2 linked regions of the Solanum lycopersicum genome follow. The protein of the gene in region 1 interacts with the protein of each later gene in a pairwise test. Links are inferred from orthologs where the notes say so. Each region holds a gene or a part of one and is shown on either strand. Other genes may lie near its edges.

Region 1 (4,867 bases):
CATCCTTAGCTTTACCATGATTATTACCCCAATGCTTATCCGCGGTGTTAAATCTTTTTTCGCGTGCAGGAATTGCTTGTAACTGGATTCACAGCCATCGTGCTTTCCATCATCGCATCTTATTACAGATAGTCTACCTTCTACACTTGTTGAAGAAGAGATGCAGTTGCCTTGTGTTAGCTGTCAAATTTTGTAATTCTATTTGTTCCAGAAATTTGCCTTGTTTTGTCTATAGGATTTGATTGAGCAGCACTTGTAAGGATGCACCAAGTTCTGAGGATTCTAGGATTAAACAAGACCACAATCTTTTCAAAATTGATGGATGTTAATGTGGAGATATAAATGATAATGAGGAGGAAAGGTTAGGGCGGATCAATCCTTCATTTGAAAAACAGTCTTGAAATGCCCAACTCTACAAGGGTTGCGGGCTTGTGCAGGCTAGCCCTTCTTTATTTTTATTTTTTCCGTTCATTTTTCTAATAATTCTTTCTTTCTTTTTTTCAAAAAAAATCTAAATTCAAACTTCAAATTTTAACATGGCTAACAAAATTATATGAAAGTACATAATAGTTTCAATCATATCCTACTTTATGAATATGGTTAATGGTAATTCAAATTACAATTCCATATATAAGATCAAGAAAGGGAGAAAATTTTCAAATTGAAAATGATATTTTTTCAATACTTTTAGATAAAATCTACTAAAAGAAATATAATAATGATTTTTGACAAATAAATAACATAAATTTGAAAAAATTAATTTGTAACTTAACGAACAATTACCTCTTAAAACTTTAGTAATTTAATTCAAATTAGATAATACTTTTAACCAATCCCGACCGGGCGTCAATGAAGCCTCAAGGGCCAAACGCTTACTTGGATTGAGTCATAAGCCCTAGTTTCTTAAATAGGCTGGAAAAACCTTATTCTAATCCTATTCTAATAGCGATTTAGGTTGGACCGTCGCCATGGACTAACCTATTTTGACAGCTCAAGTAAAACCATTTGTGAATTTAACCTAGTCAAAATGTTTTAAAGCTAAAAAATTTCCCATCGTTAAACGAGGTCAAAAGTTTAAAACCATCTACTTTTATGGTCATCTCTCTTATAAATCATGAGAAAACTACTTTATTAGACATACATTCATGCCATATATACTAATTTTGTCTATATTTTTAAGTAATTAGCGTATTTTACCACTAATTAAGAGTTTCCTATTATATATTAGGAAGATACATCTAAATATATGTATATTTGCTACCACATACACTAAAATAGGGAGAGAAACGATCAAGATAGTCATGTATATCATATATGCGCGAATCACACTATAGGTATCAGAGATACCATAGACATAGGAGAGTGGCGAGTTAGATGGGAGGGCGGCGAGTGTAATTTATCTATCTCAAATACATGCAAATTCACTTGGATACAGTGTATCTTGAAAAATTTACACCTAATTTTGAAGTATCCAGATGCACAAAAATATGATAAGATTCGTAATATTACAAACTAGTGAAATTTCGGCAAGTCGAATTATTGTCATCCCATGCAAACAATCCATTTTTAAACCCAACAATGTATTGATGGGCCAAAATAAGCCCAGCCCACCACCCTAAACTATCCAAACCCAAATTCCAAAACAAGTCGAATTTGGAGAACTCATCGAAAGGTTACACTAATGGAATCTCATCAGCTTCGGAGCTAAAAACCGATTCCGAAATATCTTCTCGTCGGAGCGGAAAAACGCCGCCGCGGCCTGAATCTACTCTACCGGAGACCGTCATTTCTCGCCGGCGTATAGATTTCAGCTCATTTACAGGCAAAATCTGAGGTATACTTATCCAAAACCCTAGATTTCTCGGAGTCTCCCTTGGGAGACTGAAATAGTTAGCAAACATGAGGATTATGATAAAGGGAGGAGTATGGAAGAACACGGAGGATGAGATTCTAAAGGCGGCGGTGATGAAGTATGGGAAGAATCAGTGGGCTCGTATTTCTTCTTTACTTGTTCGTAAATCTGCTAAGCAGTGTAAAGCTCGCTGGTATGAATGGCTCGATCCTTCAATTAAGAAGGTCAGTTTTTTATTCTCTATTGAATTAAGCTTGTTTGTGAGTCATATCCTACTGTTGTTTGGTAGCTAGTAGATACATGTACAAGTTATGAGATAAATTGTTTTGTTATCTTATTGGCCTGCATTACTTACCAAATGAGTTTGTTCATATGTTTTGGTAAAAGGTTATATGAAAACTGTTTTTGATTGGTAACTTTTGCTGTGGAGAGGGTATAACAGTAGGTGACATATGCTCATAGTACCAGCTGCATGATAGGTATGAGGATAGGTTTGAATGTTAGATTTTGCGAATCATTGTTCAAGTGCCAAGGTAGGGGTAAGGTCTGCGTGGACTATACCATCAAAAGGAGACCACAAGTGGGATTATACCGGGCATGTTGTTGTAATTTTCAATTGTTGATTCAAAAGAGTGGCAGGAAGTGTGTGTTAAAGATGTCCGAGAAGGAAACTAGTTAGTGTGGAAGTTATTTTCCTCCAAAATTGAGTAAAATACTTCTCATTTCAGACCCTGACAACCAAATATATAACATTCTAGTTCACTGGGTGTTGGTTCTTTTTTCTTGCTTAGTTTAATGCGACATGCGAGTTATCTTTTTTTGTTATGTGTGACACCGTTATGTATTTGTTGATAGCTGTCACATTTCAGATTTCATCCTATTCCATTGTGAACTAGAGAAGTTCTGTTTTGTGAGCATACTGTGGCTTTGCACCAGTTTGTTTTTGGCTTGATTATTGGCATGCAAGATCTGAAACTAGTTTTCTGTGTGGAGATTTCTGTCTGAGTTTTTCCAATCTTTTTCTATTATTCCGTTTATCAATGACAGCTAATGATTTTCTGAATAGAGAAAGTGGAGAAGTCACAGTTTTTCAAGTTTACCTCAAGACTGGTAGGAACTTATGTTTTAGCTTAACCACTTCTTGACACAACTTACTGCTATTTTCTTCCAGACTGAATGGACTAGAGAGGAGGATGAAAAACTACTTCACCTTGCAAAACTCATGCCTACCCAATGGAGGACAATTGCGCCAATCGTTGGCCGTACACCATCACAATGCCTTGAACGTTATGAGAAGCTTCTCGATGCAGCATGTACTAAGGATGAGAACTATGATCCTAATGATGATCCAAGAAAATTGAAGCCCGGAGAGATTGATCCTAACCCGGAATCAAAGCCTGCTCGTCCTGATCCTGTTGATATGGATGAGGACGAGAAAGAAATGCTTTCTGAAGCACGGGCTAGGTTGGCCAACACAAGAGGCAAGAAGGCTAAAAGGAAAGCCAGAGAAAAGCAGCTTGAAGAGGCGCGGAGGCTTGCTTCTTTACAGAAGAGGAGAGAACTGAAGGCTGCTGGAATAGATGTCCGTCAAAGGAAGAGAAAAAGGAGAGGTATTGATTACAATGCTGAAATTCCCTTTGAAAAGAAGCCTCCTCCAGGTTTCTATGATGTCACTGAGGAAGACCGTCCAGTTGATCAACCTAAGTTTCCAACTACCATTGAGGAACTAGAAGGTGAAAGGAGAGTCGATAAGGAAGCTCGCCTAAGGAAGCAGGATATTGCGAGGAACAAAATTGCAGAGAGACAGGATGCCCCTACATCCATATTGCATGCGAACAAACTTAATGATCCAGAAGCAGTGAGGAAGAGGTCGAAACTGAATCTTCCAGCACCACAGATTCCAGATCATGAATTGGAGGCCATAGCAAAGATAGGTATTGCCAGTGATCTAATTGGGGGAGATGAACTGTCCGAAGGGAATGCTGCAACGCGTGCTCTTCTTGCAAATTATGCCCAGACACCACAACATGCTATGACTCCTATGCGAACACCTCAAAGAACCCCTTCAACTAAGCAAGACGCCATTATGATGGAAGCAGAAAATCAACGAAGATTGACTCAATCTCAAACACCATTACTTGGAGGAGATAATCCTTTGTTGCACCCCTCAGATTTCTCGGGTGTCACTCCTAAGAAAAGGGAGGTTCAAACTCCAAACCCACTTTTAACTCCTTCAGCGACTCCTGGAGCCACGAGCCTTACTCCTAGAATTGGCATGACACCTTCGAGAGATTCTTATGGGATGACACCCAAAGGAACTCCTATGAGGGACGAGCTACGCATTAATGAAGAAATGGATATGCATAGTAATGCTAAACTGGGGCAATTTAATTCAAAAAAAGAATTGCTTTCTGGTTTGAAAAGCCTTCCTCAGCCCAAGAATGAGTACCAGATTGTCATCCAACAACCTCCTGAAGAAAATGAAGAACCAGAAGAGAAGATCGAAGAAGACATGTCTGATAGGATTGCCAGGGAGAAGGCTGAAGAAGAAGCAAAGCGACAAGCATTACTCCGTAAAAGGTCAAAAGTATTGCAAAGGGAGCTCCCTAGACCTCCCATTGCTTCTCTAGAACTAATAAAGAGTTCCTTGATGAGAGCTGATGAGGACAAGAGCTCCTTTGTTCCTCCTACACTAATTGAGCAGGCTGATGAAATGATTAGAAAGGAACTTGTGTCCTTGCTAGAACATGATAATACCAAGTACCCTCTAGATGAGAAGCCAGAGAAGGAGAAGAAAAAGGGGGTCAAGCGAAAAATTGTTGCTGAACCTGCTATTGAGGATTTTGAGGAAGATGAATTAAAAGAGGTACGTTCATGTTACAGAGAGAAAAAAATGGTTTTCTTTACATCTTTTGTCGATATACTTTTTCCTTACCTGCATTTATGCATAAAAATGACAAAGAGTTGTCTAAATTCCATATAAATCAATTTGGAAATTATTTTTTTAACATCCCA
Region 2 (5,052 bases), on another chromosome or scaffold:
TAGGAGGAGCCTTTTTATATATAATAACAATAGTCTCCTCCCGTACTGTTTGACTGAACACGAAATTTAAAGAAATAAAAAATACTACTAAGAAGCAGTGTTATCACATGTTGTTACATGAATTTGAGGAATACTTTCCGTGTCTCACTTTAATATTATAAAGTGAATCTGCCTAATATCTTTGTTTAATCGTTATTATTGTCATCAAGAACAGTACTGACGGCGAAATTAATGATAGTTGAATTTTTATGCTTTGTGACAAGGTATTAGGCACCTAGCAGCTTGCTTTAAGATTAATGATGAATGTTTCCCAGTATCTTCATGGTCCTCACCTACTAAAAAAATTAAAATTACAAGATAAACGTAGTAGTTTAGTTTAGTTTTATTATTCAAAAATCCTAAACTATCAAGATAATCAAAATATATAATCAATTAAGAAAGTAACATATACTTACTTTTAAATCGTAGGAACTGAAGAGTGATCTCATAATGTAATTGAAATGATAAAGAGTGTAATTACAGTGTTTTTTTTTTTTAGAGTTATAAGGATATTTAGCTAATCTATACTTTCATTTGGAAGTGACTTATATGTCAATACTATTCTTTTATAGCCTGACTTTTCCTATTTTTTTAAATACCGTAATATAAGAATGATAAAAGTTACTTTCTCTTTTTATTTCTACTTATCATTTTTGAATTTAACATGCTCATTCAGAAAATATCAGATCATTCTATTCATATTAACTGATATTTAATAGAGCAATTTTCATATATAGCAAACATAAAAATTATATTTGTATGTTATAACTATAGTTTGCATAATTGCGCTTCATAACAAATTTTATGTTTGATATAAAGCTTTTGATTTGTATGACATCCAATTTTATAAAAATTGTTCAGTTTTGTATTAATTCATTTATATATTATAATTTGTATAATAACATCTGTATTTTTATAATTATAAGTTTATAGCAAAAATATTTGCATTTGTATTTGTATATATATTTTTCTCTCATTTTATACAAATAAAAACACATTTTATACATTTTATGTCGAAATGTATAAAATGATTAATTGTATACCGAAAATGGCTAGCTATATATCAAATTATATGGCAAAAAAGGAAAAGTTCGGTGCAAATTACAATTAAAATAAACTATGACTATAACATTTAACTTAGATTAACAGTTTGTTATTTTATATAATTATTTCTATTTAATATTTCTTCTGTTTCTTTTAGTTGTTAGGTATACTATAAACACTTGTAACAAAATAGTTGTGTTACACAATTAAAAGAGAATTAATTATAATTTTTCAACTTTACCATTGAAATTAATTATTCTAGAATTAAAAGACATATATATAAATAAAGATTAAAGAAGTATTAAGGGATATATTGGTCAAACAACATTCCTTAATATTTTTTTTATTAACGGTTATATTAAATTATATTATGACAACTAAAATAAAGTGCTAGATATTTTTAATAATTAGGAAAATAAATAACTTAACATTAAAAATAAAAATAAAGATCTATTTATCGAGAAGCAAAAATAAACGAAACTAAAAAAAAAAAGATAAAAGAAAAAATATGCTCTATTTCCTATTGGGGACTTTGGGATATTTACAAGGGTAAAATGGGAAGAAAAAGAATAACCTATAAAATGAAAAAGAATAAACATTGCTCCCTCCTCAGTCAGGGCTATTATACTCGCTGCTGGCTTATTACACATCGGTAAGAAGGTCCGAGCAATAATGGCGACAAAAGACGGCGACATTTTGATGCTAGAGGCCCCGCCGGAGTATCGTCCGGCGGTGTCTAGTAGTGCGGAAGTGATAGATGCGTTGCCGTACATTGATGACGACTACGGTGATCCCAATGTGAAAGAAGAGGTGGACCGTTTGGTCGAAGAGGAGATGCGCCGCAGCTCCAAAAAACCTTCCGATTTCCTCAAAAACCTCCCTCCTCTTCGTAAATTCAACTTCGAGGTTTCAATCTATACTTGCCTATACTTCTTCTCTTCAACTTTTTTCAATGTGAATTCTAGGGTTCCATTTTTTTTGAAGTACTCATGTTTTCCATAAGAATTAGCTTTATTGAAGGATTACAATTGCTACTTTGTCTTGAATTGTGTTGATTTGGTAACTGCTTGATGTGGCCATGGTTTTTGCTCATCTAATGAATGAATTTGTTTTAGAATCATCCTATGCTTGCGAGGGAATATGAGCGGGTGAGAGCTGGAAAACCTCCAGTACAAATAGATACTTCACGATATGGACTTGAGGTGCCGCCTGTGAACAAACGCAATGATGAAACTGCATGGAAACAATCTCTTCAAAAAGCTCAGCGATTACTGCAGCATCAAGTAATCAGGTAGGCTACCTGTATCCAGAGGTGAAAATAGAGGTGGTATTTGTGAGAGTTCCCTTTGCTAATTATATACTCATGGTTCTCAGTTTAAGCTCTCTTTTTCTATGATCAAAGCATTTGTCCAACAATTAGTATATATATGTCTGTAATCTAGATATAGCACATGATAGTTGATAACCTTTATTGGTAGGAAGAAACTTTTTGTATCAGTTTCTCAATTATCTTTAAATGCAAAAGAAATGGAGTCTGTAAGGCTACAAGGTTTAATAAAATAGATGTTGCAGTGAAGCATGATAAAGAGTACTTTTTTCAAAGGAATAGCTAATATATGGTGATTCCATAATGCATTTTTCAAGTAACTTCTTATTAAGAAGCATTATGTTTGTTTTGGCTTCTATGCCGAATCCAAAAGCCTGCAAGACGAGTGGCGAAACATAGTACTATTTGTCACGTGTTGGGGAGTGTGTTTGTATATATTTCAATGAAATAGGATTCTGGAGAACTTTATATACTATCAGCTTCAGCAGGTCATATCCTAACAGAAGACATGTGAATTTTGTCACTTTGTTACCAAAGCTTTTTACTTAGCTTTTGTTAATCAGGAAAAGTGTTTTTTACATCACTATGTCCTACCTGTATATGGAGGCATCTAGTACTTTGCTACTGAAACATTCATGCCTTCGATATATTTTGGTTAAAAAATTTCCCCTTTTTTTGTTTTGCGCAACTGTGCTAATTGCTTCTGTAACCAAAAGTTAACCTTGATATTTTATAGGCTAGAAAATCTGGATCTAATGTCAAAGCATGGTCCTGATGTGTGGAAGCTGTACAATCAACAACTGGAGGCATTTCTAGCCAGGTTCTTTTTCTAATTTTATATTTTTCATGGTGCTCTAATATGGCATATTTTGGCATCCTTATTTAACAATTTACTGATGCTGAGCCCAACTTGTTTGGGACAAAGGGGTAGTTGTTATTGTTCAGCTATCTCATCCTTAACAATGTACTGCTACTTAAGGAAAGAATATGATATGATCAAACAATTTCCCCTCTTCACTGCTGGTGCAATGTTGATTCAAAAGGGAGAAGTATTTATCACTGTATTTACACAACTGGAACCAGTTCTGCACAGTATTATTATGCCTCTTACAAAAAGAGCATGATTGCTCAACCTTTCTCCTCTGCATCCCTTCCATGGCTGATATCAAACTAATTTTCTGCAGAATGCAATCACAAGCTGCTGAACTGAATGAAATGATAGAAACAGCAAACAGGGAAAGGAAATATCATCAGGTATAAGTATCTTGTATCACTACTGATCTGTTTCTGTAGTGTTTTGCATTGTTCTTATTGATCTGTTCGCCATTGCATAACAGCAAACTACTGCATATGAGCTCAATGCGTTGTCCATGCAATGGAAAGAGCTCTGTCTGAAAAATATAGAAATCCAATCTGCATGTGGGGAACTACAAGACCACAGAGAACAACTGAAGAAGGAGGCTGAAGAGAGGTCGGTTTTTTATTGCATATCATTGATGCCTTTTATGGTTTTAATAGGCTAGCTTTTAAGATATTAACCTCTTTTACGGCAGGGGCTGGAATTTGGAGGCTAATGTTGAGAATGGCAAAATGCCATATGCAGAATTATGAGGTATTGATTTCGCTATTATTATGTTATGCTTAGTTTCTATCTCTGGATTAGTTATCAATGATATAAACATGTAGGGGGCAATCAGATAAAAAAGTGGGGGAGGTACAAGGGTGATTTAGGTTGAAGGAAATGGAGAATGAATTAGATGGTTGAGATGAATGTAAAGTATGACACGGGGAGTGCAGAATAGAAATAAAAAATTACAATTCTATAAGTTAAAGAGCCAATTGTGTGAGATGAGAAAGAAGATAAGAAAAAGAGAACAAAAAAAACTATGATCTGCAATGTTCTGATCTTTTCAATTTCCTATAAAATAATGTAACAAATTTTTAAAAAGAAAAATTCCATCATTTTTTTTCCATTTCCAGACATGAAAAAACCAATTCCTGGAATCATATTTCCTTAGCAAAATTCAGGTTGCATAGACAAGGTTTTATAAAACCCCGTGGAGGAAGATGATGATACTACAAAAATTGGGTTTGGCTGGGGGTTTATGTTTAATCACAGAGGCTGTAGGCCATGCTTCCTTCTTTCTCTTGTCAATTTCTAAGATGTGTGTGAGAATTGTCGGAACTAATATTGTGAAGGGAATATGTAGGTGTAGGTCCATTAATCATGAAGATTTGCTGCTGCTGGACTAAGCTGGAGAAGTTGCTCTAAGGTTTGAAGTCCTCGCTTTAGGTCAGTGTGATGAGGTTTGACCATGTCTTTTGTTGGCAATATTCTGTTAGGCATTGCTTTACAAACCTGGTGAGGAATGTGTCCAGTGTGGAAAAACGCATTGCCTTGCCCCTCTGTATGGACCATTTCTTTGTGCACATGTTCATTTCCTTATCTTGGTAACAGCTCTATTTATGAACATGTAATTGGTGAATGATCCGACTTGGAAGCAGACCCAATTTAGTTCAAAGACGACTTTTTTCAACTCAGCGGAAGAACCAATATCACCATTAGATGACTCGCTTTTGTTTCTTTCTTTTTATTGCTCAAGATTCCATCTTCATTAATATTAAGAATTTCATAAACAAGT

The links.
Region 2: the proteins of CDC5 (region 1) and pre-mRNA-splicing factor SPF27 homolog interact in binary tests that used the Arabidopsis thaliana proteins (3 or more experiments, as listed by UniProt). The link is inferred for Solanum lycopersicum from reciprocal best matches to the Arabidopsis thaliana genes CDC5 and MOS4.

The regions. Positions count from the first base shown.
Region 1 is NC_090803.1:3,832,310-3,837,176, forward strand, and holds the start of CDC5 (CDC5-like protein), read left to right. Parts: upstream 1-1,691; 5' UTR 1,692-1,899; coding exon 1,900-2,076; intron 2,077-3,023; coding exon 3,024-4,718; intron 4,719-4,867. Other genes in the region: protein CHLOROPLAST J-LIKE DOMAIN 1, chloroplastic, read left to right, coding at 70-132. UniProt on the Arabidopsis thaliana protein: Component of the MAC complex that probably regulates defense responses through transcriptional control and thereby is essential for plant innate immunity. Possesses a sequence specific DNA sequence 'CTCAGCG' binding activity.
Region 2 is NC_090802.1:64,590,566-64,595,617, reverse strand, and holds pre-mRNA-splicing factor SPF27 homolog, read left to right. Parts: upstream 1-1,680; 5' UTR 1,681-1,755; coding exon 1,756-1,989; intron 1,990-2,198; coding exon 2,199-2,374; intron 2,375-3,146; coding exon 3,147-3,230; intron 3,231-3,594; coding exon 3,595-3,664; intron 3,665-3,747; coding exon 3,748-3,881; intron 3,882-3,963; coding exon 3,964-4,021; 3' UTR 4,022-4,022; intron 4,023-4,620; 3' UTR 4,621-4,947; downstream 4,948-5,052. UniProt on the Arabidopsis thaliana protein: Component of the MAC complex that probably regulates defense responses through transcriptional control and thereby is essential for plant innate immunity. Involved in mRNA splicing.